Drosophila melanogaster: one gene and its partners. The protein of the gene in region 2 purifies or fractionates together with the protein of the main gene of each other region. This does not show direct contact. Each region holds a gene or a part of one and is shown on either strand. Other genes may lie near its edges. The genes, in order: AGO2, Rm62, Su(var)3-9 and Tdrd3.

Region 1 (9,459 bases), on a different chromosome or scaffold from region 2:
AATCCTAGCTACTTGTAGGGCCTATATTATAAAGCTATGTATATTAGTCATGCATTCCTGTTATATAAACTTGATCTAGCTTAGGCAAATGACCAGCTGCAGCAACAACCACAATTACAATTACAATTACAAATACGAGAAGCTCAAATGCAGAAGCCAGAAATCCAGAAAGCGTCTAAAGAGAAGCTAAATAATAATATTGTAATTAAACGAAATCAACAGACCAAAAACAAAAACGTAAAAAAACAGCAAAGTAATGAAAAAGTTAACGACAACAACAAAAAAAAAAAATAATAATAATAATGAAAGAACGATAGAATGATAGAAAGAAAGCCGATCGCAAATAGGCTCTGATTGTATATGAAATCCAGATTGGAGTTGAGCCGACAGTTGGAGGCGACATGTACATTATGTTTTAATAATGATTGAATGAATGAATTAACGAAAGACTCCCGGAGCTCAATCTCTGTGCTGTCTTTGGCATGACTATTGTTCCTTTAAACGATATTTCTCAAAACGAATAACGAAAGCTGACGACGAGATAAAATACCTAAACAATTCCATAATGTAGCTATATAGGTGGATTATGTAACGAACTATGTCTATGTGCAGCATTTAAGTTTCTCTTCATCATCTGTTCGCCAGCGGGCGTCAAGTTGGAGTTTCAATAGATGGAAAGCATACGAATTTATAATGGGTATCCGTATCCGTATCTGCATCCGTATCCATATCCGTATCTGTATCCGTATCCCCAATTCGGTTGCGTTCTCCACCTGCCGCGTTGCCTGGCCAATTTAAAACAATTTCCGAGCCAATTATGAAAATGAATTATTGTTTGTTAAGTTTTATTTTATAAGACGGCGCTGCACTGACCGAAGGGATATTTTGAGAGTATAACCCAATTTAATCAAATTTCGCAGCAATTATTTTGTTTTTTATGTTTACAATTTGTGTTTTACGTTTTAGTGCAATTTTTTGGCATACATACATATTTATACAGATATTTTTGTATTCTTTTCGCAGCGTTCTAAATGAGTCATTCTAGTTTTTATTAGTTGAATTTATAAACACAAAATTACTTAACGGAAATTTCAAGCGTAACCCGTTGATTTCCTATCAACTCGATAATATGTATCTATAAAATATAATTTAGCTATTTCTACGTATGTCTGTGCATGTGTGTATAAATCAAGCGGGCGAAGTTGTGCAATTGTTAGAAAATTTTTAAAAGAAAGATATTTAGTAAAAATACGAAAATCAGAAATCGATGTTGAAAAACAAAACGCTCGTGCAATGACAAACAAAATTTTATTAATAAAGCGTTAAACAAACAAATTAAAGACAACATGAAATATACATTATGATATATTTATATATACAAGTATGAATAATGTACGACTATTTACTATTTTTTGGCTATAGCATTTTAAACGCATATATTGTATGTTTAACGTTGAAAATGGAAAAAACAAACAAAACAAGAAAATACATCAAAAAAAATTGTAAAACTTTTATGATTGGTTGCTGTAATTTGGCAAAAGTAAAAGTGCAATTCCAAATAAAATTCAAACAACCATACAAACAGCAGGAATCTGGGTCTTTTATTTATTTATTATCTATGGAAAAACAATACTTTTTCTGGAATGTAAAACTATTTTTCACTTAAAGGCGGAAAAATAAAAATAATGCTTTCTAGCAGTGGTGATTAAATTTATTGATTCTTACTGATGTCTTCTTCCAAAATAAAATTTAAAAAAAAAAACTAGTAAATTAAAATTTTTTTCCTATTTTAAACTTCCCCGATAATCAGATGCCAGTTACTCAACTATTGGAAATGCGAACGCAAATTAGATATTGGTGAATAAAATAAGAAAAAAAATTAAAATTGTTAAAAATTGTAAGCGTGGCTTTTCGGCGGTTTGTGGGAGTAATAGTAGTTTGGCAGATCAATAGAAATTTACAAGACTAATCAAAATATGAAAAATATCACATTTTGCATAACTGTGGGCGTGGCAATTTAAAGTTTTTTGGCAGATCGATGGAAATTTACAAGACTAATAAAAATATGAAAAATGTCAAAACATTTTGAAAATGTGCGTGGGAAGTTTTGGGGGCTTTCCGTAATCTCAATTTTCTAGCTTCTTATTCATCCTGAGATCTCGACGTTCGTACGGACTGACAGATGGACGGAAAGACGGACATGGCTAGATCGACTCGGCTATTGGTCCTTATATATATAATATATATAATATATTATAATATATATAATTTATTAGGTCGAAATCGGTTTCTTTTGCCGGATACATGCTTTTCAACGAATATAGCATACATTTGACTCAACAAGCAACATGTATACAAAACATGTATAAAAATATACAAATATAAATAGAGTCCCCACTTGAATGGCCCGCCTAGTCCGTATGTTCCTATCAATAATCGATAACAGAAAACACTTTAGCTGTGCCGCTCAATAACTTATCGCCCACCCCTAAGGCCTCCCATCACTAAAAAAGACTGTGACGCATTAAAAAATCGTCTATTAAAAGTCGTCAGTTAACTCGAAACCCTCAAAAGTAAATCATGGGAAAAAAAGATAGTGAGTTGTCCCACCTGCAGGACCATACAGCTATTCAAATATATGCACTTTCCAATTACCACCCCAGAGAACAAGAAAGGAGGACAGGATAGCGCTGCAGCACCACAGCCCCAGCAGCAGCAAAAGCAACAACAACAACGGCAGCAACAACCACAGCAGCTGCAACAACCACAGCAGCTGCAACAACCACAGCAGCTGCAACAACCACAGCAGCAGCAACAACAACAACCGCATCAGCAACAACAACAAAGTAAGTGCAAAGTGCGATATATCGGCGTAGGCAAAAAATAGATGTATGCATGCATGTACATACATATGTTTTGTACATATGGATTTACCATTTGCAATCAAATGCTCCATAAACTTTCGAAATGCCTGGGAATTCCCGAATTCGTGGCAGCCATGATGAAATTCAACTGCCATGGTTGTATAGAACCTATGTATGTGTGTATTATACTTAAAGGTGAATTCTACTGTATATAACAGTTATTGAATTTCCCCTTAACATAACTAAATTAAAATTCCTTTATATTTAAAAAAATGAATTTTGCTATGAAATGTAACAGTTGTGCTTTAGGCAGAAGCATCAAACAATTAAGAATTAAAATCTGCTCAAATCTGTAAATCTTAATCTTAATTTATACCAGATCCGACATTTTAACTCAATTATAAACTTATTAAAAATCTGAAAGATGAAGCGAAATTGAACATTTGACATCAATATATCTTTACATTTAAGGTTATGTACATACAGTTTGTCAAGAAACTGTTTACACACTGTGAAATAAGTTGAATTTTTGACTTTAAAGCTAAAAATAAAGGGTTTTTTGCTTAATTAAACGCAATTTTTTTATAAAATATAATTAAACAATATTTATTTTACTTATAAATAAAAAACAAATTAAAAATATTAAATATACAAGAAAATAAACAACAAATTCCAGGTTTACACACTTTTGAGACTGTCAAGAAACTCTTTACACATTTTGTTTTCCTACTTTGTTTTGTTCTTTTTCTTAGAACGAACTCGATTTTTCCGTTATTTTTGGCTTCGCATTGCTTTTTACAACGCTTCTATTGAAATTTGTTGACTTTGCTTGTGAAATTTTGCTGATCAAACGTGCTTAAAGCGAATTATTAAATTTAATAAAATGCCTGGAAAGAGATTAACTTTTGAAGTTACCCAATTAATAAACTATAACCACCAGTTGGGAAAATCTTTTCCAGAATTAGTATAAATGTTTCCTGTATCCCGTAAGACCGTCTACAATGTTTTAAAAGGCTCGGAAAAAGAGGGCAGGCTTGAACCTAAGAGTGGTGGTGGACGGAAAATTAAAATTAAAAAGCGTGTAGACCGCTTTATTATGCGAATAGTGATTGCGAACCCCCGAATCTCGGTCAGATCACTTGCTCTGGATATCAGGCAAGAATGCCACCTAACTGTGTCACACGAAACTGTGCGCCAAGTCATCCTACGCCATAGGTACTCTTCAAGATTTGCAAGGAAAAACCCTTTGCTATCAGATGCCAATATGGAAAAGCGTCATTAATTCGCTGTGAGCATGATGGATCATGCGGAAGAGTACTGGGATGACGTCATATTTTGTGACGAAACAAAAATGATGCTCTTTTATAACGACGGGCCAAGCAGAGTATGGCGCAAACCGTTGAGTGCGCTAGAAAAACAAAATATCATTCCAACGATAAAATTTGGAAAAATGTCACTGATGATGTGGGGCTGTATCACCAGCCGTGGAGTGGGAAAACTAGCCTTAATTGAGAGCACAATAAATGCCGTGCAATATCTAGAAATGTTAAAAAACAAATTTGAAGGCCAGTGTAGAAAAAATTAGTCTGGTTAGCAACAACAAGCCAAATTTTAAGTTTTACCAGGACATGATCAGAAACATAAAGAGTGCAATGTACGCACCTGGCGCCTTAATAACTGTGGTAAAGTGATCGATACGCCCCCTCAGAGTCCTGATCTGAACCCCATTGAAAATTTGTGGACCTACTTAAAGAAGAAGGTGGCAAAAAGGGACCTAAAACACAACAACAGCTTATGACTGTAATAGTCGAAGAGTGTGAAAAGATCCCGTTTGAATATGACCTGCAAAAACTTGTCCAATCCATGAAAAAAAGGCTTCAACTTGTAGCTAAAGCCAATGGGGAACATACTACATACCAAAACTTTTAAAATTTTAATAAAATAATTAAAAAATTTAGGATTAAACTTCGATTTAGTGTTTTGTGTAAAGAGTTTCTTGACAGTCTCAAAAGTGTGTAAACTTGGAATTTGTTGTTTATTTTCTTGTATATTTAATATTTTTAATTTGTTTTTTGATTTATAAGTAAAATTAATATTGTTTAATTATATTTTATAAAAAAATTGCGTTTAATTAAGCAAAAAACCCTTTATTTTTAGCTTTAAAATCAAAAATTCAACTTATTTCACAGTGTGTAAACAGTTTCTTGACAAACTGTATGTATTTTAAAGTGATACAAATTATTTTCGCGTTAGCAAATTCAAATCAGCCAAGTGAATACTTTTCGAAGAGTTTGCTTGCAGTTTTTTCGAAACCTAACACCTATTGTAATAAACATTCTTTGTCGATTTCTAAATCTAGGTTCGAGACAACAGCCATCCACAAGCTCAGGCGGATCCCGTGCATCTGGGTTCCAGCAAGGAGGCCAACAGCAAAAATCCCAAGACGCAGAAGGATGGACTGCACAGAAAAAACAAGGCAAACAGCAGGTACAAGGGTGGACTAAACAAGGTCAACAAGGTGGCCATCAGCAAGGACGACAAGGGCAAGACGGTGGCTACCAACAGCGTCCGCCTGGACAACAACAAGGTGGCCATCAGCAAGGACGACAAGGGCAAGAAGGTGGCTACCAACAGCGTCCGCCTGGACAACAACAAGGTGGCCATCAGCAAGGACGACAAGGGCAAGAAGGTGGCTACCAACAGCGTCCGTCTGGACAACAACAAGGTGGCCATCAGCAAGGACGACAAGGGCAAGAAGGTGGCTACCAACAGCGTCCGCCTGGACAACAACAAGGTGGCCATCAGCAAGGACGACAAGGGCAAGAAGGTGGCTACCAACAGCGTCCGTCTGGACAACAACAAGGTGGCCATCAGCAAGGACGACAAGGGCAAGAAGGTGGCTACCAACAGCGTCCGCCTGGACAACAACAAGGTGGCCATCAGCAAGGACGACAAGGGCAAGAAGGTGGCTACCAACAGCGTCCGCCTGGACAACAACAAGGTGGCCATGAGCAAGGACGACAAGGGCAAGAAGGTGGCTACCAACAGCGTCCGTCTGGACAACAACAAGGTGGCCATCAGCAAGGACGACAAGGGCAAGAAGGTGGCTACCAACAGCGTCCGTCTGGACAACAACAAGGTGGCCATCAGCAAGGACGACAAGGGCAAGAAGGTGGCTACCAACAGCGTCCGTCTGGACAACAACAAGGTGGCCATCAGCAAGGACGACAAGGGCAAGAAGGTGGCTACCAACAGCGTCCGCCTGGACAACAACCAAACCAAACCCAGAGCCAAGGCCAATACCAATCTCGTGGACCACCTCAGCAACAGCAGGCTGCCCCATTACCATTACCGCCTCAGCCAGCCGGGAGCATTAAGCGCGGAACAATCGGCAAACCCGGGCAAGTAGGCATCAACTATCTGGACCTTGACCTGTCCAAAATGCCTTCTGTGGCATACCACTATGACGTGAAGATCATGCCAGAGCGTCCCAAAAAGTTTTACAGACAGGCATTTGAACAATTTCGGGTGGACCAATTGGGCGGAGCAGTTCTTGCCTATGATGGCAAAGCCTCTTGCTACTCGGTGGATAAGCTGCCGTTAAATAGCCAAAATCCGGAAGTGACTGTAAGTTGCAAGAAATTGTCTACTAAGTTATGAACAACTGGGAGTAATAACATTTTTAAATGTATACAGTGGCAGTTAAATTTAATTTAATCTATACGATATTTTAGTTGTTTTTATTTCTTATTATTTTAGGTGACAGATCGTAATGGTCGTACTTTGCGCTACACGATCGAAATCAAGGAGACTGGTGACTCGACCATTGACCTTAAATCGTTAACTACGTAAATATAAATTATGTTTTTTATGGATACTCCTATTGAACGCGCTCCTCTGCAGTTATATGAATGACCGAATTTTCGACAAGCCCATGCGAGCAATGCAGTGCGTGGAGGTTGTTTTGGCTTCACCCTGCCACAACAAAGCCATCCGTGTCGGTCGTTCCTTCTTTAAGATGTCCGATCCTAATAATCGTCACGAACTGGATGATGGATACGAGGCCCTGGTCGGTCTGTATCAGGCATTTATGCTGGGCGATAGGCCATTTTTAAATGTAGATATATCGCACAAATCCTTTCCGATTTCAATGCCGATGATCGAATATTTGGAGCGATTTAGCTTAAAGGCTAAAATCAACAATACAACGAATTTAGATTATTCGCGACGCTTCCTTGAGCCATTCCTCAGAGGCATTAATGTGGTTTACACGCCTCCTCAGTCGTTTCAAAGCGCTCCAAGGGTATACCGTGTAAATGGTCTTTCTCGTGCCCCGGCCAGCAGTGAGACCTTCGAACACGATGGGAAGAAGGTCACCATTGCGTCCTACTTCCACAGTCGCAACTACCCATTGAAGTTTCCCCAACTCCATTGTCTGAACGTTGGATCTTCAATCAAGAGTATTCTGCTGCCCATCGAGCTATGCAGCATCGAGGAAGGTCAGGCCCTAAACGTGAGTTCACTAAATTCCTTTATATCTATATCTTGGTGTTCAATACCGTAAGCTATATTGTCATTACATATACCTATAAACATATGTATTTCACAGCGCAAGGATGGAGCAACTCAGGTGGCCAATATGATAAAGTACGCAGCCACATCGACGAACGTGCGAAAGCGCAAGATTATGAACTTGCTGCAATACTTCCAGCACAACCTGGATCCGACCATCAGTCGCTTTGGCATCCGCATTGCCAACGATTTTATTGTGGTAAGCACCCGCGTCCTAAGCCCACCTCAGGTTGAATATCATAGTAAGAGGTTTACTATGGTGAAGAACGGGTCGTGGCGCATGGATGGCATGAAGTTTCTGGAGCCCAAGCCCAAGGCGCACAAGTGTGCGGTCTTGTATTGCGATCCGAGGAGTGGTCGCAAAATGAACTATACCCAGCTGAATGACTTCGGGAACCTAATAATATCCCAAGGCAAGGCAGTCAACATAAGCTTGGATTCTGATGTGACATACAGACCGTTCACGGATGACGAACGCAGCCTAGACACTATTTTCGCGGATCTGAAGCGCAGCCAGCACGATCTGGCAATTGTGATTATTCCTCAGTTTAGAATTTCTTACGATACAATTAAGCAGAAGGCCGAGCTGCAGCATGGAATTTTGACGCAATGCATTAAGCAGTTCACCGTGGAACGAAAGTGTAATAATCAGACGATTGGAAATATTCTACTTAAGATCAACTCCAAGCTGAACGGCATCAACCACAAGATCAAGGATGATCCTCGTCTGCCGATGATGAAGAACACCATGTACATTGGAGCCGATGTGACCCATCCCTCTCCCGATCAGCGCGAGATTCCCAGTGTGGTCGGAGTAGCAGCCTCACACGATCCCTACGGAGCCAGTTATAACATGCAATATCGTTTGCAGCGAGGGGCTCTGGAGGAGATTGAGGACATGTTCTCGATTACTTTGGAGCACTTGCGCGTGTATAAAGAGTACCGTAACGCCTATCCTGATCATATCATCTACTACCGAGATGGCGTGAGCGACGGCCAGTTTCCGAAAATCAAAAACGAGGAACTGAGGTGTATTAAACAAGCCTGTGACAAGGTAAGTTTTTGAATTTCCTCACTATTTATTTAACATGAAATGAAATTACCAGTTACTAGCTATGAGTTAATTATTATATTATTATATACAGGTGGGCTGTAAACCCAAGATTTGCTGCGTGATTGTGGTGAAGCGTCATCACACTCGCTTCTTTCCCAGCGGCGACGTAACGACATCGAACAAGTTCAACAACGTGGACCCCGGAACCGTGGTCGATCGCACCATTGTGCATCCTAACGAGATGCAGTTCTTCATGGTCAGCCACCAGGCCATCCAGGGCACGGCCAAGCCAACACGATACAATGTGATTGAGAACACAGGCAATCTTGACATCGACTTGTTGCAGCAGTTGACCTACAACCTGTGCCACATGTTCCCTCGTTGCAATCGCTCGGTTTCTTATCCGGCTCCGGCCTATTTAGCCCATTTGGTAGCTGCTCGTGGACGCGTTTATCTGACTGGGTATGATATTCTTTGTGAGCGTTACCCGTACATTGAACTTATTTCTTTCTGTAATGTCACAGCACCAACAGGTTCCTGGATTTGAAGAAGGAGTACGCAAAGCGAACGATTGTCCCCGAATTCATGAAGAAAAACCCCATGTACTTTGTCTGAGCAACGTATTGAATCTTATTATTTTTTATCTTTTTTATATTATCACATTTCTTAAACCATATTACAAATATAAATTATGTAAAGGAGCATCTCTATTGATTCCATGATGAGCTATGATTTTAAAAGCCGCCTTGAGATGGTCCGCCAAATATTGTTCTACTTTACATTTTTATCAATTTGTTTGTGGCATTTTAGGACATCAATATGGTTGGAAAGCTTATAATGGAGTTAATAGAGCGCTCCTTTCTTTTAGGAATATTAATCAACATTATATAATAATAAAATTAAAAGCTCATCTTATGGGTTGAATCAAAAGTGTTAATTAGTTAATTTACATTTAATGGGGCGACCACC
Region 2 (6,570 bases):
GAAACCCCTTTCAGATGAATACGATCCCTACGGACCCGACATCGGTGACGATGACCTGGGAATCGACGATCCGGAGACCATGCCCCGCTTGTTCCAAGGCGACATCGCCATTGATCCGTACACCTACATCACCCTGCGCCTGGGCGTCAATCCAATGAGGCATCCAAAACGACTGTGGCCCAATGGAACGATTCCCTTCGAGATAAGTCCGCGGTACGCAAATCAGGAAAGACAGGCCATTATTCAAGCCGTAAAAACCTTCAACTCCCTAACGTGTGTGCACTTTGTGCCGTACGATGGGGAGGTAGATGACTACCTGTTGATCGAGCCGCCTTTGGAAGGACCGCAAGGATGTTGGTCCTACGTGGGCCGAAGAGGAGGTGAGCAGGTGGTGTCCCTCCAGAGACCCGACGAGAATAGTGCCCACTGCTTCAGCAGCGAGGGCAGAATAATGCACGAGCTGATGCACGCCATCGGCATATACCACGAACAGTCACGAGCAGATCGGGACAACTTTGTCAAGATCCACTGGGACAACATTGTGCCGCGGTTTAGGAAAAACTTCAAGCTGGTGTCGAAGAAGAAGGGGAAGTACGCCTTCGACTACGACTACAACTCCGTGATGCACTACGGCGAGTTTTACTTCAGCAAGCGGAAGGGTGAGAAGCCCACCATGACCCCTCTACAACCTGGAGTTAGGATCGGGCAGCGAAAGACCATCAGCAAGATCGACTGCCTCAAGATCAACGAGCTGTACGGCTGCTTGCAGGGCCGCAGGGCCAAGATGTACCGCAGTTTCTGCCACCTTCTCGGGTTGTAAGTGGACGTGGACCTAGACTGGGATATTTGTTATGAATCACATTGATTTGATATTTAATAAACTTTAATAAAATAATGCGTAGACCCTTATACATATTCATTCTTGGCTGACCCACCCACCAAACTAACTAAACATATCCATTACTTGCAGGTCCGGGTATACTAGGTTCAATTATGAAAATTTAAGAGATAGATAGAAATGTGTGGGCATGCATACGAATTTTCTTGATCACTAAAAGGTTTGATCTTGCCACATGCGCAAGTGTCATAGAAATATTTTGCTTAACTTAGCAGAGATAGACGTGGTTTAAAGTATTGCCATCTCATATGCACCTGTATAACACTGCTAGATAAAGCAGTGCCTTTACTGCTTGCTAATGCGGTCACTTGGTGATCACACTTATATATTTCCATACCCCAAAGGAGGATAAAATTATAACATACCTGAGAACACCCGGGATCTTTAGTCATCTTTGCAACATGCTTCGTATAAAAACGAAATTGAATATAATCTGTTTTTATTGTTAACTTCACTAAAATAGTTCGTAATGCAATTAGATATATTTATTTATAAAATTATTAATAAGAAACGTATTACTTACCGGTTTTTCATATTTCACTTTAAGAAATTGAGCAAAATCCACTTGACACGTTCTACAATCAAATGCAAATTCAGTGTTCGAAACTTTGCTAGAAGAAGGCTGTAACATTTATTCTTGTATTTTTGAACACTCCCAAGGAAAAGTGCGGCAGGGAATTTTAGTACTGAAGAAGGACATATGAACTGGATGTTTGGGTGGCTACGTGTTATCTGCTATTTTTGTCTTTATCAATTGATTTGTTAAAAATGTCACACAGCAACTCCACCTTTTGGAGAGGGTTCTCTCCGAATTTTAAAACCGATTGACCATGGCCTTTACAGTACAATTACGATATACGATAGTTCGTGGTAAGATATTTAAATAAAGTACAGTGAGGTAGTTGGTAAATTTGTAAGAGCTTACAGATACTCATTTTCATTAAAGTGCCGTAAATTTCAATTTTTGGCATTTTGAAAAATAAGTGCATTCTTTACTGGTGTTAATATATGTGGCTACTTAATCCTCCATAGATGCCATTTTATTTTCCAGCATAATATCTATATTTAGCTATTTCCAATCATAACTATGATTCTTTCAATTTAATTCGCTAAAACTCGAGTGAAATTTTCGATTTCTTTCAGACTCATTTTTTAGATGTAAGCAATAAAATTATGTGTAAATTATAAGATTTCTTTAATAAGTATTACTTTTTATAGACTTGAAATGGTCAACAAGCAAGTTCTATGAAATTTTGAAATTAATGATGAAAATTCTGTGTGTTGTACAATATTATATTTTCTTATAAATAATAGGATATATTTTTCCTTTCAGAATATTGAGCCAACCTTATTTTAATTCTTTAAAATATTAGTAAAAATGATGCGAGATTTGCGCTTTTGGTAGATTTCAAAAAATTTGTATTAATTGAAAATGTTAAATAAACCACAAATGGGGTGAGTCTTTGCTAAATGCTCAACACAGAAAGTTGTTTTATGCTTATATTTGTTAAGGTATATTTACTAATCTCCGCACAGACTACGTTTTGGTAGGCTAGGAAATTTAAGACATTTCCGAATATTAGGAGTACGGACCGACGACGAGATACATTTAAAGTTCGTTTCAGCAGAATCTTAAATATTAAAAACTTAGCGGGCAAGTAAATACACCGCGTTCAGCTGATTATCGATAGCTAGGAAATTTAAGACATTTCCGAATATTAGGAGTACGGACCGACGACGAGATATATTTAAAGTTCGTTTCAGCAGAATCTTAAATATTAAAAACTTAGCGGGCAAGTAAATACACCGCGTTCAGCTGATTATCGATAGCAACCAGGTGGTCACTCTAATAGACGTTTTCATGCGAGCCCGCTGCGGTCACACCAACTTCTCGACCGATTTTTCCCCTCCATCTAGGGTCACTCTAATTTTGGACGAGGTTAGGTAAGACACGCGCGGATGCCGCGCTGCGTAGGATAAATCCGTCATTAGCATAACCGCATTGAAGCTAAGTCTTCGGGAAAATGCTTAAGCTTGTGCAATACATAGCCCCCCGGGTGGGCGGCGCCACGCCCCGACCGACTGCCTGCGGCTGGGGCAACTTGCTATTGATTTCCCCGAGAAGTGGCGCGAGCTCCGAGAAATGTATAACGCAACGTCGCCATTTTCTTTTCTCCTCCGCCAGCAGCAGCGGCACTTTCGCTTCTTCTTCTTCGCTCTGCACCGAACAACGACAACAGTTCCACGGGAGTCGCAGGAATCGTGAGACAATACTGTTCCCAAGCACATATAGTAGTCTCCAAGCTCAGTCGCAGCGTGCGTTTCGAGACAGCTCGAAACCAGATTCAGACGACTACGTAGATTCCATCCCGAAAGCAGAGCAGCGGACGAGGACGAGGAAATCGCTTTTCAACGATCCCGACGAAAGAACTGAGGAAATCAAAATTGAAGGAGTAATGTGAGTACGCCGCAAGATTTCATATGAAATGCGTTGGTTTTTTCCACTCACTGTCGCCATTTTATCACCCTTCGTGCCATTCCTCTTTTTTTTTTTTTTTTTCTGTACACCTACGAAGCGAGGTGATGAGTAATTAGTGTGAGCGAAAGAGAGAGTTTGGGGAGAGAGAGAAAAACACATGGTTTGCTAAATTTTGTCAGTCGGAGGTGAGGTTTTCAGCCATTTGTTGTTTTTTTCTTTGTGTTTGCCCCCGCACATCCGCAAAGGAGTAGCAAAAGCAACAAGAACGACAGCGCACGTCATAAAAAGAATTTGCCTGATTTGTGAAACGTGTTCTTGCTTCGTTTGCTATTTTATAGCGTTTTAATTTGTCTGTATGCCCCGAACATGAACACGCGCACTCACACAGCGGCACATACGGACTTGCTTGTATGCGTGAATGCCTGTTGACGGCGGCATTTTCTCGTGCTCGTAGAACAGTTCGAACAGTGTGTGCGAGCGTATAACAGTCGGCGGCTGTCACTGACTAGCGCCGTCCTGCTCACTCGCCAGCATGCCTTTCCATCACATTCTTTCCATGGCTCACACGAGGTTTTGTAGAGATATCGCGATGTTTTTGGTATTGGCAATTTTATAATTTGATGTAACCATCCCGACATAGATTTATACTTACTATGCTTAATTTGGGAAGTGAATGGGGTTAATGGTTTGCTTCGTTTGGTTATCTAATGCGTACATTGAAATATATAATTTCAGTATAATTCTGTATACTGAGGACAATTTTAGGGAAAAGTAGGGTTATTCTCTTAAAATTTTCTCTACACTATAAGTAAAGGTTCCATGCAAACACATTTAACTTACAGATTATCAAAAATGCATTTTATCGATCATTTTATCTATTTTGCTACGCTCTTTTTGTGTTTACTTATCATGAACCATGCTTGTTATGCAATAAAAATTATTTATTAGAAAGTTATACTATAGTATTGATAAAAACTCAAGTAACAACCAAATATTAAATGGTAATAGTAACCCAGTTCGTGAACTACGCCATCACATAAACGGCCCCATTAGTCTAAAATGTCAAATGACGCCAATTGATTATGAGCTCCCCCTTTGGCGAGCGCGCGATTCGTCTTTTCGCATGTCAAAAAGCGACAGGTAGACACACAGAAAGTCAAAGGTGCCCCCAGGGACTGTCCCCTCCTCCCCTCGGGTGTTTGCCCACCGTTGAAACTAGGGGCAAGACATTTGGCTGTCTCATAAATGTTCAGAGCGTTCCGCTTCGCTAGTTGGGCACAAACGTTAGCGTGCCAGTGGGTCCTACAAATAGACGTTTAGGGCGGTACGGTGTTCCAAATTGACAGAGTAATAGACAAAAAAAAACGTGGGCCTGGATCGTGGGTGATTTGCATGGTGCACCCCATAGTGATGCCCACTAGGATCACGAAAATGGAGCTTACATACGAAGTAAAGCGAATATAAAGTGGAAATTTATAGAAGTTAGTTCGTAACACAATAAACATAATTTATGTTGTAAATTTTGTTTTATACAACTTTACCATCCAACTTAATCTTGCACTATATTTATTACCACATTGTATATACACTCCGCAGAGTTAATATTATTTTTCCCTAATTATTGCAAAGTGCTAACATATATAGGTCGGTACCTTCGCCAGTTCTGACTGGAACTAGAACTGCGCCAGGTTGATTAATGCCAGAGCAATAAACGCAGGGCTTTGTACATGGGGCTGTTTAGTTTAGTTGAGCATTTAGGGGCTGATAAACTGGGGTGAAAAATTGGTGGGAGGGTGGGCTGTGAATAGAAACCCTGCTCGAATTGCATGTTGTTGTCAATCAAATTTGCCTTACTGTTTGCATTATTCGAAATTTATTTAATTTCCCTAACACGCAATTAGTTTTTATTTAAGTTTATTGCGGTTGTAGCACAGCACAACTCCCATGTCAGCTGTTTAGCAGCGTCGAAAGAAATCGAAAAGCGAAGACTTACCTTCCAAGCCAAGTCGCAGTTGAAATCCAAGTCCCAACTGGCAGACGTCTAGAAACGGCAGCATGCGAGCAAAGTAAGCCAAGTCACTCGTTTCTTTTTTTCCTCAATTTTCTGTCAAAGAAATACTTAAGAAAAGAAAGTGCAGCTGTCTACGCCGAGCCGGAAAAAATGATTCCAGTTAAGCATGGTTTAATTCTCGAAGGTCCCTTTTATCAAGGGAAAATTTATGACACACAGTTTCTGGGTAATGTGTGTGCAGCGCAAAATTATTTTAGATGGCAGATAAGGAGGAATTGATTATACAAATGTACAACGCGAAATTAAAAAGTTTGTGAGAAAACTATCAAACTATATCAACTTCAGCGAAATTCGGTTACAAAGCTCAAAGTGGGATATTTTCTTAAAGATTCCACTGAATTCACGGCAGCGAAATAACAAGTCGTGAAGTCGTTCAATTTCCATGAATAAGGAAAAGGCCCTTGATACTTGACACTAAGTAAACTTCGGCAATGCAAGATAAGCATATTAGAATTAAATTACTTTAATCTCATTTGCCTTTACCAAAGCCAATTACCATCGCAACCATTAATTTTGCCAAAGTTATCTAGAATAAATTACAATACAAAAAGGCACACAGGGTACGCGTGAATTTTTAATTTATCAAGTTAATGGGAAAAACACTTGTAATGCCACTAATTTAATTTTTTTTATCTCGAATAAAACAGCATCAAGATAAATTGGTGGTCAAAGATCAAACCAGTACAAGAAACTGCAAACTACTACCTTAAGTTCAAATAAGCTGCAAGATGATGATGATGTGAGATTTCTTTTCTTGAGCATTCCGTTTCTATTTTGCATACTTAGATACTCATCGATCTTCCTTTATTATTTCCCAGGGCACCACACGATCGCGACTTTGGTCACAGTGGACGTGGCGGTCGCGGAGGCGATCGAGGCGGCGATGATCGGCGAGGAGGCGGCGGCGGAGGCAATCGCTTCGGTGGCGGCGGTGGCGGTGGCGATTACCACGGCATAAGGAATGGACGCGTCGAGAAGCGACGCGATGACCGCGGAGGCGGCAACCGATTTGGAGGTGGTGGTGGATTCGGGGATCGCCGAGGAGGAGGTGGCGGCGGCAGCCAAGACCTCCCCATGCGTCCGGTCGACTTCTCCAACCTGGCTCCCTTCAAGAAGAACTTT
Region 3 (7,721 bases), 9.3 Mb from region 2:
CCATGATGGTCTTGTAGGCATTGATCACGGTGTCCAGCTTCTTTAGACGTCCGTTGTCAGCCAGCAGACCCAACAGATTGACGGTGGCCGGGGCGAAGCGGAGCTTCTCGGATGCCTCCTTCAGAGCGGTGGCCATGACCTTCTTGTTGATGATGGGGCTGGTCACGTACTCGCGCAGCTTCTTGTCGCTACGGATGGTGGCCTGCAGGGCCGTCAGATCCTTCTCCACCTGATCCAACTGGCTCAACTTGGAGGCAGCCGAATACAGGGCGGTAGCATAGCGACCCTCCAGACCGAACACCTGCACTGGTGGCTTCACCGTCGCCTGGGCGGCAGCGGAGCTGAGGGTGCGGCTCTGCGGGATAAGCAAACAAGAGCACTTGGTAAGTTTTTCGGCTTATTAAACATAAACTACCCGCGGTTCGTGGGTTAAGATGGGCAAAAATTACATAACCAAGAAACGCGCGTTAGATAATTCTACATATGCGACAGCGGGTTGCAAACGCAATAAAAATTTGACATGCACTTAAAATGGCTTGGCATTGACCGGAGCTTGTTCACTTTTTTCTATTTATTCGCATTATAACATACCAAAAGTGCCAATTTGTTAATAGAGGCCATCGTTTTTATCCCGACAATTTTTCAGCTAAAAATCTCAGCTGTGACCAGGGCTACGTTACTTGCTACTCGACGTGTGGCAGGGTTGTTTTGAATGGCGTAAGGGTTGCAGGACAGTTATCGATTACAAAAAATAGCTAGATTTTAAGATTTATACTAGCTAGTTAAATAAAAGCGAATTTTCATTTTAAAAATGATATTCTGACTTTAAAGTAATTCTTAAAGGATATATTAAAAGATAGGTATTTCTGGGTACCCAAAATCTACCTTAATAGTAACACCTCTAATTTGCTATTAAATAATTAATTAATTAATAAATATTAATTAATAAAGTAATAAATTATTTTATAAACATCGAATTGAATACTTTGGTAATTCTTTACTTACATAAAAAGACACGGCTTGAGATTCGATTTACGTCTTTTTATTTGTTTTAAATTAATTTAATGGTGATTCTCATTTTCTGCTGCTCTTTAATGGATGTATGACTTTTGCTTATTTCGAAACCTAAATATGTCCTTAAATCGTTGCGAATATGTAAATGTTGCATAACCATCGGGAAAACTATAGTTGCCAGTGGTTATAAACAATGTGGGCCTTCGGTTGCGAGCGATTTGAAATTGCATTAATCAGTTTACTTGTCATCTAAAATGGTTGGTTAGGTGGTTAGTAAATTCCTTCTGTTCAAAAGGCACTCCATTAGCTTACCCTCATCCTCTTCCTCTTCCTCGCCTTCTCCATCCTCACCGTCCTCGTCGTCAAATGCCTCCTCATCATTATCTTCGTTGTCCTCCTCGTCCTCGGGCTCCACCTCGATATCAGGTACCAGATAATACTGCAGTGGATTTGGCCAAAGGTCGTCTTTTATCAGTTCTGCGATCTCGTCGTTGACGGGATCGGTGTTATCCGAGAACCAATCGAAGAAGGTTTTGTATTCGGAGTTGCGCTTCTTCTTGTTTCCGTACGGCTTTGTCAGCAAAAGTTTTAGCAGGTTCTTTCCCTCCTTCCATTTGATGGGCGTGCTGGTAGACGCGGGCCAGTCTCCGTTCTCGGAAGCAGCTTTAATTGAAATAGTAATGGGTTAGCTAAGCGGATTTGAATCAATCGTTGGGAGAACTTACCCGCTGAATTCAGGTGGAACTCTTTGGTGAGCACCTTGTTTTCGAAGTAAGGATTCTCGTCGAAATGGAAGTTGATGCGGTAACCCGATTTGATGTCCTCAAACTCCTCAACCTCAAGTTTGTTGAGCGCGTGCAGGCACTCCTCCTCCTCCTCGTCCAGAATGCCGGATACTTGCGGGTGGTTGATAAACTGCAAATATGGCAGTTGGGATTAGCTAGGGGATGCATGCTATCAAGCAGAAAGCCATGTTTATGGCCCCTATGGCACTACTTTTCTTTTCAATTATGGCAGCAAATATTTCAGTGGTTTTTGATTTGAAGCCATTTTGAACTGTGCTATGTTGTGTATTTCCCGGCCAGACGGATATATCGATAGCACGATTTTTCCGGGAGGGGGAAAATGCGCGGGGAGCCGGTGGTGTCGGCATTGCAGCCCAAAGATGAACAAGAAAAAATGCCTCGAATAGAGAAAATTTCTTGTACATGTGTGCAGCGATTACCATCACTTCAGGGCTTCGAAAGATCTAGTCGGCTCCACTAGAACCCATCAGACGAACACGCGGAGGGGACAAACATGGCCGCGGATCGAAGTACTCACCGAGGTCACCCAAAAGTTGGGGATGCGCTTGACCAGCTCGCTGCGCTTCTCGTAGCAGGGCTTCCGCAGCTTGTTGTACTTCTGCTCCACCTTGAGGATCTCCTCGCTGGCCTTCTCGTTCAGCGCATCGATCTCGTTCTGGCAGGCATCAATTTGCTCCAACGCCTCCGACTCCTCCTCGTTGTTACCGGCGGCGGCGGATGTGTTGCCATCGGCGGGGGCGCCGTCCAGCTTGGCTCGCTTTGGCACGCTCGACATTCTGCACGCTCTTCCGTTGTGTGTACGCTCGTAATTCCCGAGATATTTGAACAAAAAGCGGCGGTACAGTTGAGCAGAAGAGAAGCGAAGCGGATTTTTAACCTTTCGTTTGCGGCTGAAGAACTGTAAGTGTATCGATAGGGCGGCACTCTATCGATACGCATCGCAGTTGGGCACCGGTGTGACGTGTCCAACACTGGCCAACCATGATTAGAGCACTATCGATAGGCATTGTCGGGTCCAATCGTTCTTCGATATCGAGATTTGATGCCGAGCTGTAATAGCTGAAAATTATTATTTTCATTTTGCATACGCATCGTTTTTGAAAACATCAGCAACATGGCCACGGCTGAAGCCCAGATCGGTGTGAACAGGAACTTGCAGAAGCAGGACCTCAGCAACTTGGTAAGCAGCCAGCAAAGACGACCGCCAGACGCCGCCTTCCCTTTTTTTCCGCCCGTGTGTGAAAGTATACGCGTCGTCATTATGGAGCCGCTTCCCGGAAAAACAGCGGGGTGCGGGTCGCAAGGACGCGCCCAGATTGTCTCGAACGGTTCGCGGACCAATTTCGAGGGATATACCAGTGGGTTTCGCCAGGGCCAGCAGTGATTTGTTGTGGGTGAGAGATCACGGTGAAAATGCAGCACGTGGCGCTACATTTAGGGTCTGTTTGGTTTATCCCGCAACTTTGGCTCTGCATATGGGCATGATGCGGACTCTGGCGGTATTTGGGCTCTGGCAAGCAGATCAGTTTCGCGAGGACTACCTGACTGTTGTCATCAATTTTGAGTTGATGCAATTCAAGCGACATTCTAACCTCAAAATTGACGGCTTTCCTATATACACACATGCATCTGAGAGGGGATGTTTTGTTAGGGGGTGTGGCGGCGGTAAACAAGACTTGTGCTCTGATTTTCCTCTATTAAAGCGCCTTTATTTATCGTATTGCATTTGGAATCTTGCAGGACGTCTCTAAACTAACGCCTCTATCACCGGAGGTCATCTCCCGACAGGCGACCATCAACATCGGCACCATCGGTCATGTGGCTCACGGCAAATCCACGGTGGTCAAAGCCATATCCGGCGTGCAGACTGTGCGCTTCAAGAACGAACTGGAGCGCAACATCACAATCAAGCTGGGTGAGTCAGGGATCCGTGTAAGCTAGCCTAAGCATATAATCTTAAGATGTATTATTCTACTTGATAATAATTTAGCCGTATGTTAATTCTTCCTGCTCGCCCGTAAACCCCGTAGTGCCCTAAGATTGTAAACCTTCTCGGCTGGCCGAAAATAACCCATAATTATCTTAAGAACCACTTTTTAACACCGTATCGCGACGGCACACCGCGTAGCCAACTCTGTCGCTGCTTTACATCGAGATAATGTTGTAAAAGGGTTCTGCGAATGATTGTCTCTTGTAATTCGAATTCTTGTGTATTTTGTTAACTTAAATTGCTGGATTAGCACGCGTTGCCTTGTGTCGTCGCCTAAGTAGTCTAAAATGATAAAAGAAGTTGTCTTTAGAATGTTGTACTTTACAAAGCTGAATTAAAAAGCGTTCCCAAAGATTGGTATTAAGCATATCTTCCTGTTAGCTTAGTCTTGAATCTGTTACATTGATTGATACGACTGATCCAGCAATTTAATTAATTGCCAATCTTTTTCTTCTTTTTCCCTATTTCTCTTGTTTTTACGATTTTTTCGGTTGCGACGCGTCCGCCAAATAAAAAAAAAAACACACCAAACCCATCATCCAATCCACAATTGTCCAAAACTTGTCATTTGCAGAACGCTTGAGCGAAAAAAAAATCAAAAATCTTTTGACCTCCAAGCAGCAGCGACAGCAGTATGAAATCAAACAGCGTTCAATGCTGCGCCACCTGGCCGAATTGCGGCGACATAGCCGATTCCGCCGCCTCTGCACCAAGCCAGCTTCGTCTTCCATGCCAGCATCCACCTCCAGTGTAGATAGACGCACCACCCGGCGAAGCACCAGTCAGACCTCACTGAGTCCAAGCAATAGTAGCGGCTATGGCAGCGTTTTTGGCTGCGAGGAACATGATGTGGACAAAATACCCAGTCTCAACGGATTCGCCAAACTGAAGCGTCGACGCAGCAGTTGTGTGGGCGCCCCAACTCCCAACTCCAAGCGGTCGAAAAATAACATGGGAGTAATTGCCAAAAGGCCGCCCAAAGGAGAGTACGTTGTGGAGCGTATTGAATGCGTCGAGATGGATCAATATCAGCCAGTCTTCTTCGTCAAATGGCTGGGATACCATGATAGCGAGAACACCTGGGAAAGTCTTGCCAACGTGGCCGACTGCGCCGAAATGGAGAAGTTTGTGGAGCGGCATCAGCAGCTCTACGAGATATACATAGCCAAGATAACCACTGAGCTTGAGAAGCAGCTGGAGGCATTGCCACTAATGGAGAACATTACGGTGGCCGAAGTAGACGCCTATGAGCCACTCAATCTGCAGATCGATCTTATACTGCTCGCCCAATATCGCGCTGCTGGCAGTCGAAGCCAAAGGGAACCGCAGAAAATTGGAGAACGAGCCCTGAAAAGCATGCAAATCAAGCGGGCCCAATTTGTACGACGCAAGCAGTTGGCTGATCTAGCATTGTTCGAGAAGCGCATGAATCATGTGGAGAAACCGTCACCGCCAATACGTGTTGAGAACAACATTGATCTGGACACCATAGACAGCAATTTCATGTACATACATGATAACATAATCGGCAAGGATGTGCCCAAGCCGGAAGCGGGGATTGTGGGCTGTAAGTGCACTGAAGACACAGAGGAGTGTACTGCCTCTACGAAGTGTTGTGCCCGCTTCGCCGGCGAGCTGTTCGCCTACGAGCGAAGCACACGGCGCTTGCGCCTTCGTCCCGGAAGTGCCATCTATGAGTGCAATAGCCGCTGCTCGTGCGATTCAAGCTGCTCCAACCGTCTGGTGCAGCACGGACGCCAGGTACCGTTGGTGCTGTTTAAGACCGCCAACGGCAGCGGATGGGGGGTGCGAGCCGCAACTGCCTTGCGTAAGGGTGAATTTGTGTGCGAGTACATTGGAGAGATCATCACCAGCGATGAGGCAAATGAGCGCGGCAAGGCGTATGACGACAATGGGAGGACATATCTGTTCGACTTGGATTACAACACAGCTCAGGATAGCGAGTACACTATCGATGCAGCTAACTATGGCAACATCTCGCACTTTATCAATCACTCTTGCGATCCTAATCTCGCCGTGTTCCCCTGTTGGATCGAGCACCTGAATGTCGCGCTGCCGCACCTCGTGTTCTTCACACTGCGTCCAATCAAGGCGGGCGAGGAGTTGAGCTTCGACTACATTCGCGCGGACAACGAAGATGTGCCCTACGAGAACCTCTCGACAGCTGTGCGTGTCGAGTGCCGCTGCGGAGCTGATAATTGCAGAAAGGTCCTCTTTTGAATGGACTTGAAGTACTATATTTAAATGGCACGCCGTTACCCACCTGAGACATCATTGCATTGAACCTTTTTTTTTTTTGTTAACATATATATATATTACTAGTTGGATTTTATATTCCGACGTTTTAATTATTTATTTGTTAATAAATGCTAATATCGATATATTGGATCTATATTATGTTTGAGGATCTATATTACTAGAGGATAAAACGAGTAATTCTATATAGTTTGTACTTGTATACATTTCATAAACTTAAATTTTAATTTAGTAATAACTTAGTGTTTTGACAAACAACCTTGTAATGTGCTGAAATTATTACCGCATTAAGTGCAAATTATTATTTTACAATAAATATTTTACGATTATTAAGTGATGTTTGTTTGTGGCTGTATAAATGATCTGGAAGGATCAAAGAAATGAATTTAGTTAGCAATAGCACTTAATTCCTTGTGAAGAACGAAGGATTATTTTACGTGTTTGCCAGGCCAGGAGTTCGAAGAATGTATTGTAATATTCTTCATAATTATTATCGCATTGCTTTTAGGTTATGCCAACGCCAAAATCTACAAGTGTGACAACCCCAAGTGCCCGCGCCCGGCCAGCTTCGTATCGGATGCATCCAGCAAGGACGACAGCTTGCCCTGCACTCGGCTCAACTGCTCCGGCAACTTCAGACTGGTGCGACATGTGAGCTTCGTGGATTGCCCCGGTCACGACATTCTTATGGCTACCATGTTGAACGGTGCTGCTGTGATGGACGCTGCTCTGCTGCTCATTGCTGGTGAGTAACCCTGGATCTCTCTGAACCGACAAAAGATATACAAATTACTACCTATTCCATGTGCAGGCAATGAATCCTGTCCACAACCGCAAACCTCTGAGCATTTGGCCGCCATTGAGATTATGAAGCTGAAACAGATTCTGATCTTGCAAAACAAGATCGATCTGATCAAGGAGAGCCAGGCGAAAGAGCAGTACGAGGAGATCACCAAATTCGTCCAGGGCACCGTAGCTGAGGGCGCTCCGATCATTCCGATCTCGGCCCAGCTTAAGTACAACATCGATGTGCTCTGCGAGTACATTGTGAACAAGATACCAGTGCCGCCGCGTGACTTCAATGCCCCGCCCCGTCTGATCGTCATCCGATCCTTCGACGTGAACAAGCCAGGCTGTGAGGTGGCAGACCTTAAGGGCGGTGTGGCCGGTGGCTCCATTCTGAGCGGCGTGCTGAAGGTAGGCCAAGAGATCGAGGTGCGTCCGGGCGTTGTGACCAAGGATAGCGATGGCAACATCACCTGCCGTCCAATCTTCTCCCGTATCGTCTCGCTCTTCGCCGAACAGAATGAGCTGCAGTACGCCGTGCCCGGCGGTCTGATTGGTGTGGGCACCAAGATCGATCCTACGCTGTGCCGTGCCGATCGTTTGGTCGGTCAGGTGCTAGGCGCCGTTGGCCAGCTGCCGGACATCTACCAGGAGCTGGAAATCTCGTATTACCTGCTGCGTCGCCTTCTCGGCGTCCGTACCGATGGTGACAAGAAGGGAGCGCGCGTTGAGAAGCTGCAGAAGAACGAAATCCTGTTGGTTAATATCGGATCCCTCAGCACTGGTGGCCGCATCTCGGCCACCAAAGGTGATTTGGCCAAGATCGTTCTTACGACGCCTGTGTGCAC
Region 4 (7,039 bases), on a different chromosome or scaffold from region 2:
CTGACGCAAATTAACTTTAATCAATTCGCAAAAGAAATCGCAATTCTAAATCACAAGGCCAGTTTAATCTATTTAATTTAATATTGGCAATTGAAGATAAGATATGCTGTGAGTGATTTTATCTTCAATTTAGATTTATAAAGTTTCTGGCTAATCTCATAGCATAAGTATTTAGTTTATTCTCTTTGCAAAAGTATTTGATGAAATGTTTTCGGACTGCGTTGCTATTCATATACCCACCGCTGTGCCCAACCATTTGCCCATATATTCGGGTGCCGCTTTACAAAAGTGCGTTGTCCCGGGCATACGAAACTTGTTTTTCTGTTTTCGTAAGGTTTTTCAACTGCGCCGCAGTTTTCTTTTGAGCGGATGGGACGAGCCCCCTTCGAAATTGGACAAACACGCCCAAAAACACACACACACTATCGCAGTCAATTATGAAAGATCCCCATTGACTTCCTAGCGACCTACAAACGCAAACAAGCTTATCAATAAAATTCAATTCAATGCGTTTTATATTGAGCCTCGCAGCATCTTTCGCGCTCTCCCACTCCCACTCGCTCTCTTTCTCACTCCCACTCACAGAGTCACTGAACTGCCCAGTGTGGTTGCTTTTGCACTCAGCTGTTTTGCGAACGCAAGTGTGAGTGTGTTCGTGTGTGTGCATTCTGCACGAAGAGGGGAGAGCAGTAGAGAAAACACCAGAGGGGTGCAGAAAATATTCACAGGGGTTTTCCCAAGCAGAAAACATTGTGCAAAGGCCAAGTTCAGACGCGGAGTGTGAAAAGAAACAAGAAACTTAACAAATTAAGATTTATGCAAAGCAAAATAAAAAATTTATTTTTGTTTCGCCTTGGAGAATCGCTATCATATAGTTGGCAGATCTTAATGATTCCGAAAGCTTCCCTCTCTAGACCCACCCATGTAAGCAAGTGGGAAGAGACTTACCCAATGGCAAATCGCAGAGGAGACAGCAGGCGGCCAGGGAACCGGCCGAAGCGCCTCCGATCTTCTCCAGCAACAGATGCGGTGCATACTTCTTGAAGCAGACGGCCACTCCGACGTGGTAGATGCCCAGGAATCCGCAGCCAGCGAATGATAGATTCATGCTTTGGACTCGGCGTTAGATTCTATAAATCGTTCGATGACTGTTTGTTGTTGTTGCTACTGCGTCACTGGTTTTTTCTCTCTTTAAGGTATTTTCTCGCACTTTCTTCGCGGATTTTAGTCGTTGCAGCTCCTTTGATGTAACAATTTCTTGTCGCGTTTCGAAATAAATCTCGTTTGGGTTTTCAATCACTGTTTGTCGGTCGGCTGGAAAAATTACTCCGCTCTCGAAATGAAAAGTTGTTGCTCGCGAACCGTTATTTACTCGCTCTGCGGATGGCAGCCCCCTTTTATACATTCATTGCGGCGCGGTGTGACCGCATTTTATTCGCTTTACCACCTAAACTAGAACTGTCATTAGAGTGGCTGTGCGTATAGGGTACTCTTTTGTTTGTTCTAAACATGTAGATATTACGACTTTAAATCGATTTATAATGCCAATTCTTTATAACTGATAAAATTTAATTATCGATATATAAGTACATCTATCAAAAATATATATGCTAGTATATGTGTTGCACCCAATTTTGACATTATCTCTTGGGACATAATATATATATTATATTTAATTTGAATAAGTGTGCAAGAAATATTAAAATTTTTAGATTTTAAGAAAGCATTTAATATTACTAAACAACCTAAACTTAAACGATAATAGTATGCACCGTCAGCCGATAGTTGCCGCCAAGCACATCACTAGCGAGTACACACATCTAATACTTTTGTCATCCCTAGTCCGGAGTTGCAAAAAAATCGTCTTCATGAAAAAATGGAATTAGGCAAGAAACTACGAGAAGTCGGGTGGTAAGTACAATTTTAAATTGTGGCATACAATGCTTCTTAACGATTTACGCAGGTACCTGACAGAGGAGGGCCTTAAAATCGTGACAACAGCCGTCGGCAGCGAGGATGTCCGGAAAATAGTCAATGATGCACTGAATGTGAGTTGTAGGCGAACCGGCTGCTCAGCATTCTGTGTAATTATTAATTATAACCTATTACTCACACTTTGCAGCGAGATCTGCGCGATATTGGCGGTGGCGCACTGCCCGCGAAACGCGAAGATGCCACTTTGCCCGGTAAAATTGTGCTGCAGGTTCAGCGTGTGCGAAATATTGCCGCTCCCAAGGCGAATGAGGAATCGAAGGCGGCGCCACGCCTCCTTCAGTTGGATCTGAGTGATGGGCAGAATTCCATAAAGGCCTTGGAGCTGGAGCCAGTTCCCCAACTGAATCTCAATGTGGCTCCCGGAAGCAAGATCTATTTCAAGGCCGAGAAACTGCAGCTTATGCAGGGATTCCTGCTGCTAAAGTCCAGTGAAATTCAGCTGCTCGGCGGCCGTGTGGATGCACTCTACGAGAAATGGGATCTGGCCAGGACCATGATGAGATATGCGCGCAGTGGGCGCCCCTTGAATGGGACATCAGCGCCACCCCCGTGGGTGGCATTTGGCCGAAAAATCGATAGCAACGCCGAAAGCGAAATGAACTTTAAGAGCCTGGGCGAGGGCGACAAGGACAAGCCGGCAAAGGAGAACGAAGAGTTCAATGCCATGCGCACAGAGGCCATTGCCGTGGCCACCAAGGCCGGCGGCAAGAAGATCTTTGGCGGCGGTGGCCAGAACATTATCGATCACAATGTTAAGAAGATCCTAGACAAGGGCTTCAGCGAGGAGGAGGCCCGCAGTGCCTTATCTGCTACCCGAAACAACTTGGAGCGCGCCCTATACAATCTAAAAAGACGCAGTGAAGCTGGCGGTGTGGGTCCGATCGAATCCGTGGGTCGTCCGGGACGCGGAGATCGTCCGCCCAGAGAGGGAAAGCGTGGAGCTAGCGCCAAGGACGAAGTTGAAGCACCCAAGCCGGCTGCCAACACCACGCTGTTTGATTTCCTAACCAATAAACTGCCCGCCAAGGAAACACCGGCCGCTAGTAATGCAGAAACCTTCGCTGCCGCTCCAACTGCCGCTCCGACTGCCCCACCCACTACCAATCACTTCAATCCATTTAAGCAATATGGAAGCTCGCGCTTCAGCGATTCCGAGAGCAAACCTTCAGCTATGGGCGGAGGCGGCAAGTTTGCAGATCGTTCTAGGTTTGAGAACAACGTATCGAGCAGCTTTGCCGCACATCGTGGTGGACATGTGGGTTCGTCGCGAGGCGGTGGCCGTAACCGGGGTGGCGGCAGGGACGAAAGGCCACCAAGAGAGGAGCGAGCCTACAGGGAAGACAGGCCTCCGAGGGAAGAAAAACCGCCGAAAGAGGAGAGACCACCGCGAGAGCGAGGAGCGTTCAATGATCGTGCAGCTGGACGTTACAAACCAGAAACGCCAACCGTAAAAACCGCAAATCGCAATGGCTCGGATAACGTATCGTTGAAACCGAATTCCGAGATTAAGCCAGATCATGAAACAACCAATGGGAAGGACCACACTGGCAACCGACGTGGCAGCGAACGAGGCAGCAATCGTGGAGGCTCCAATCGAGCAGAGAACGGCAACGCCAATGGCAACAGACGAAACAAGCCGGCAGCAAGCTTAACTTCGGCGAGTTCTGCAGCGAAATCGACAAATAGTGCTGGCGATGATTTCAACGCCCGTTTGAGTAAGATAACCGAGGAAACAGCTAATCTCAAGGTGAGCAGTGCGCCAAAGCGAGAGAATCGACGTAAGCAAGGAGGACAAGCCAATCGCCTGGCGGGATCGGGCACAGAAACAACGCAGCAGCAGCAGCCAGCACAGTTGCATTCGCAGAAGCCAGAGAAGGCTCAAACCAACCAAAAGCATCACAATCCCAGGCACAATTCGCAGGCGAACTACAGTCAATTGGCGAATGGCTACACTTACGATCCCAGCAAGATCATGGGTTTCCAGAGCAAGGAGGCCAACGAGTTTGCCATGAACCTTCTAAAGAGCCAGGGTGTTACACTGCCCAACGAAAAACAACAGGAGGAGGAACAGCAGGAATCGCCACCCATGTCCTTTGGCCCCGTTTCCGCTCCTGTTTCCCGTGCGCAACCTGCTCCAGTGGCTGTGCCACAGGCTGCGCCACGGGATCAGTTCGGCATGGTGCCAGGCGATGCGTGGATGTGGCAGAAGGGCGACTTGTGCATGGCCAAGTATTGGGACGATGGAAGGGTGAGTTTAGGTCGATAAACTGAAAGTACATTCGTAATTGTAGTAGGACAAAGTATTCAAATTGATCTATTGAACTTAACTTATCATTCCTTCTTTATTTTCCAGTATTATGAGGCTGAGATCACGGGCGTGTCGGAGAAAACTTGCGTGGTCTTCTTTATGGGCTATGGAAACCATGAGGAGGTATTGAAGGTCGACATCCTGCCCATCACCGATGCCCAAAACAGGCCACTGAGCAACTCAGCGCAGCAGCAGCAACCGCATCTGCAGCAACAGCAACCGCATCTACAGCAGCAGCAACATTCACGCTACCGCGGAGATCGTCAGACGCAGCAGCAGCAAGTCTACGTGCCGCCCCACAAACGAGAGCATTGAGACAACATGGTAACAGCCTGTTAACAACGTATTTAAATCAATTAACATGTTTCGAATAAACAACTTTACAGAATATTAAAACTATGAGTACGTATTTTGTAATCTGCTGACTTTCATATAATTTAAAGCGTACTGTTGATTACGTCTTACCTATTAAGTGAATATATCTCCTATAACGTGAAAAATTGAATTAAGCAAAGTTTTATTTAATAATTTAGTAATTAACATTTCTTTGTAAACATTATTCGAATTCGATTAATTCCTGGCGCAGTACTATCGATTGTCCCTGATTTCTGCGCGACATGTTCAGCACTATTTCGCGCCGCTGCTCAGCACTGGTGCATTTCGCGAATTTTCCCTCATACATACATAACTTATTTTTAACATTTTTCGACGTGATGTGCATTTTCTCTCATAGTTTTGTGCTTAACCATGTAAAATAGAATTAGTCCGTAGTGTACAAACAATAGGATTTAGTGCAAAGGTAACGCAAAAAGAGTGCAAAAGCCCGAAATGTACGCACAAATTGGCCAGCAAGTGTACAGCTGGCTGGCTGACTTGCCATAAACGCGCTGGAAAGGGTTCAGCGCAGTAAATTTTGCTTGCTGAGCATGCAAAACGATTAACGAGCCGTATAAATAACTGACTAATCAGATAAAAGTGCAATGCGGTCATATGCATGTATTGTGCGCATATATTTTCATATGATGGCAAAATCATCGTGTAGTACATGCGCCAGTGTTGTCAAGTTCGCATGCGGTGTTGCAAAGCGACGGTTGTCGATATTCGTGCAATGTTTTGTGCCGATTTTATTGAGCAATTAACATGGCATTAAAATAAACGAAATTAAATTATTATTGCCCGTCATTAAATGTGTTGCATGTGTCACTTCTTAAATACTGGAAAATATGATTGATCCCACCATTCATTTCCACATGCGATACTCGGCGAGTGCCTTGCGAAGTTGGCCAACACTGGCGACTGTCTGCTGTTTTCAGCACGTAAAAAGAAAAATGGTAAAATAAATCCTTCTCGATTCTCGGGCTTGGTGCAAATTTACAATTAAATACGCTTCAACCATAACCAGCCACATAAACCGTAGACTAACATCGGAAAATTCGTGAAAAGTGCCTTTGTTTAGCCTGCAAACAACTGAAAAGACAACGTCAGGCAAAGAAAATCCGGCCATGTATATAAAAAAGCCAAGAAAAATCAACATTACGCTCAAAACTTCTGGAATTTGCATTTGATCGCCAACTGCGCTCGCAATTTACTGATAAATAATACCCATTTATTGTCGCATATAAATAAAAACCGCACAACAACAAAACGCACGCATACACGCAGCGAAAAAAGTAGCAGGAAAAATAAAAGAGAGCAAGCACCTCTACCAAAAAAAAAAGCAGAAAAATAATAAGAAACAACTTGAAAATTACTTTTAATTATGCTGGCGAATTTTCTCGTTCTGTGCAAGTGTTTTCCACCGGATTCTCCTCCCCCCGAGATGCCACCCTCCTCCGAGTTTTCCGTCCCCCTTTTGTGCCGGTGCGAGTGTGAAAATTGCTCTTATGAAATTTTGCGTAACCGAATTAGAATGAAAATTGTGTAAATCGAAAAATAAAGACACAGCACTTTGGATTGTTTATCATACATATGTACATATATACATATATATTCTTAGTTGCAGGCGCACTCTATAAATCCGTCTGTATATTTGTACTAAGTACACACAATTGTTTGGGAACCGATAAGAAGCGAGATATAAACAATTTCTGTTTTGGATTTAGCGAACATTACTGGCAGTCAACGAAGATGATTTAATCAATTCTTCAATATCCAAATAATTATCCGTACAAACAAGCCGGTCTTTAAAGTAATCTAAAATGTGAAATCGCCAATAGGAAAATTCAGGACTAGAATACTTAAGATGTGAAATTGTGTGCAAATTTCAAGAACACAACGGTAATTATAAACATTAAAGATTACAACATACATTAATGTATAGTACTATTATAAACCAAAGACAATAAATGTGCTTTATTGAAATAACTAAGTGAAAGTAAACTCTACATGAGAAATAACTACTTAAAAACATAAATACGAAAGAAAACAACACGTGCTCTATAAAACCAAAAATATAACATAATATAACATAACATTAATAACATAACCAAATCTAAAAACATTACACTCAACCAATTCACAATAAAAACATAAATAAGCCGTATATCCGCCATACGAACATGAAAATAAAAACTAAAACCAAACATCTTTCTTTACAGTAAACATAATGCCCGCAAAGTATCTAAAACATTAATGTAAAAACGATAATCGATTTCTTATTATTAACCACACAAAAACTGTTAAATTGTGTAAGTATAAATTCACTGAATAAAATGATCAAGAATACAAGAATACAAC

Evidence for each region.
Region 1: the proteins of Rm62 (region 2) and AGO2 purify together in Drosophila melanogaster (affinity purification with western blotting; 2 studies listed by BioGRID, with this or other methods). This does not show direct contact.
Region 3: the proteins of Rm62 (region 2) and Su(var)3-9 purify together in Drosophila melanogaster (affinity purification with western blotting; one study listed by BioGRID). This does not show direct contact.
Region 4: the proteins of Rm62 (region 2) and Tdrd3 purify together in Drosophila melanogaster (affinity purification with western blotting; one study listed by BioGRID). This does not show direct contact.

Annotation. Positions count from the first base shown.
Region 1 is NT_037436.4:15,551,627-15,561,085, forward strand, and holds AGO2 (argonaute 2), read left to right. Parts: upstream 1-2,486; 5' UTR 2,487-2,580; coding exon of another isoform or gene 2,581-2,596; 5' UTR 2,597-2,638; coding exon 2,639-2,846; intron 2,847-5,196; exon of another isoform or gene 5,197-5,223; coding exon 5,224-6,491; intron 6,492-6,623; coding exon 6,624-6,712; intron 6,713-6,767; coding exon 6,768-7,377; intron 7,378-7,473; coding exon 7,474-8,490; intron 8,491-8,581; coding exon 8,582-8,952; intron 8,953-9,014; coding exon 9,015-9,105; 3' UTR 9,106-9,416; downstream 9,417-9,459. UniProt on the Drosophila melanogaster protein: Essential for RNA interference (RNAi); double-stranded RNA induces potent and specific gene silencing.
Region 2 is NT_033777.3:6,004,823-6,011,392, reverse strand, and holds the start of Rm62 (Rm62), read left to right. Parts: upstream 1-2,819; 5' UTR 2,820-2,922; coding exon 2,923-3,356; intron 3,357-3,664; exon of another isoform or gene 3,665-3,947; intron 3,948-5,278; exon of another isoform or gene 5,279-5,432; coding exon of another isoform or gene 5,433-5,443; intron 5,444-6,095; exon of another isoform or gene 6,096-6,176; coding exon of another isoform or gene 6,177-6,187; intron 6,188-6,266; coding exon 6,267-6,570. Other genes in the region: CG10280 (uncharacterized protein), read left to right, coding at 1-820. UniProt on the Drosophila melanogaster protein: As an RNA helicase, unwinds RNA and alters RNA structures through ATP binding and hydrolysis. Involved in multiple cellular processes, including pre-mRNA splicing, alternative splicing, rRNA processing and miRNA processing, as well as transcription regulation.
Region 3 is NT_033777.3:15,258,561-15,266,281, reverse strand, and holds Su(var)3-9 (suppressor of variegation 3-9), read left to right. Parts: upstream 1-2,823; 5' UTR 2,824-2,934; coding exon 2,935-3,000; intron 3,001-3,344; exon of another isoform or gene 3,345-3,443; coding exon of another isoform or gene 3,444-3,485; intron 3,486-3,560; coding exon 3,561-3,735; intron 3,736-4,384; coding exon 4,385-6,051; 3' UTR 6,052-6,418; downstream 6,419-7,721. Other genes in the region: ATPsynO (ATP synthase, oligomycin sensitivity conferring protein), read right to left, coding at 1-355, 592-621; Set, read right to left, coding at 1,253-1,263, 1,327-1,677, 1,740-1,929, 2,338-2,595; eIF2gamma (eukaryotic translation initiation factor 2 subunit gamma), read left to right, coding at 2,935-3,000, 3,561-3,735, 6,596-6,832, 6,899-7,721. UniProt on the Drosophila melanogaster protein: Histone methyltransferase that specifically trimethylates 'Lys-9' of histone H3 using monomethylated H3 'Lys-9' as substrate.
Region 4 is NT_037436.4:14,784,971-14,792,009, forward strand, and holds Tdrd3 (tudor domain containing 3), read left to right. Parts: upstream 1-1,820; 5' UTR 1,821-1,876; coding exon 1,877-1,911; intron 1,912-1,963; coding exon 1,964-2,048; intron 2,049-2,122; coding exon 2,123-4,243; intron 4,244-4,348; coding exon 4,349-4,618; 3' UTR 4,619-4,695; downstream 4,696-7,039. Other genes in the region: bmm (brummer), read right to left, coding at 949-1,108.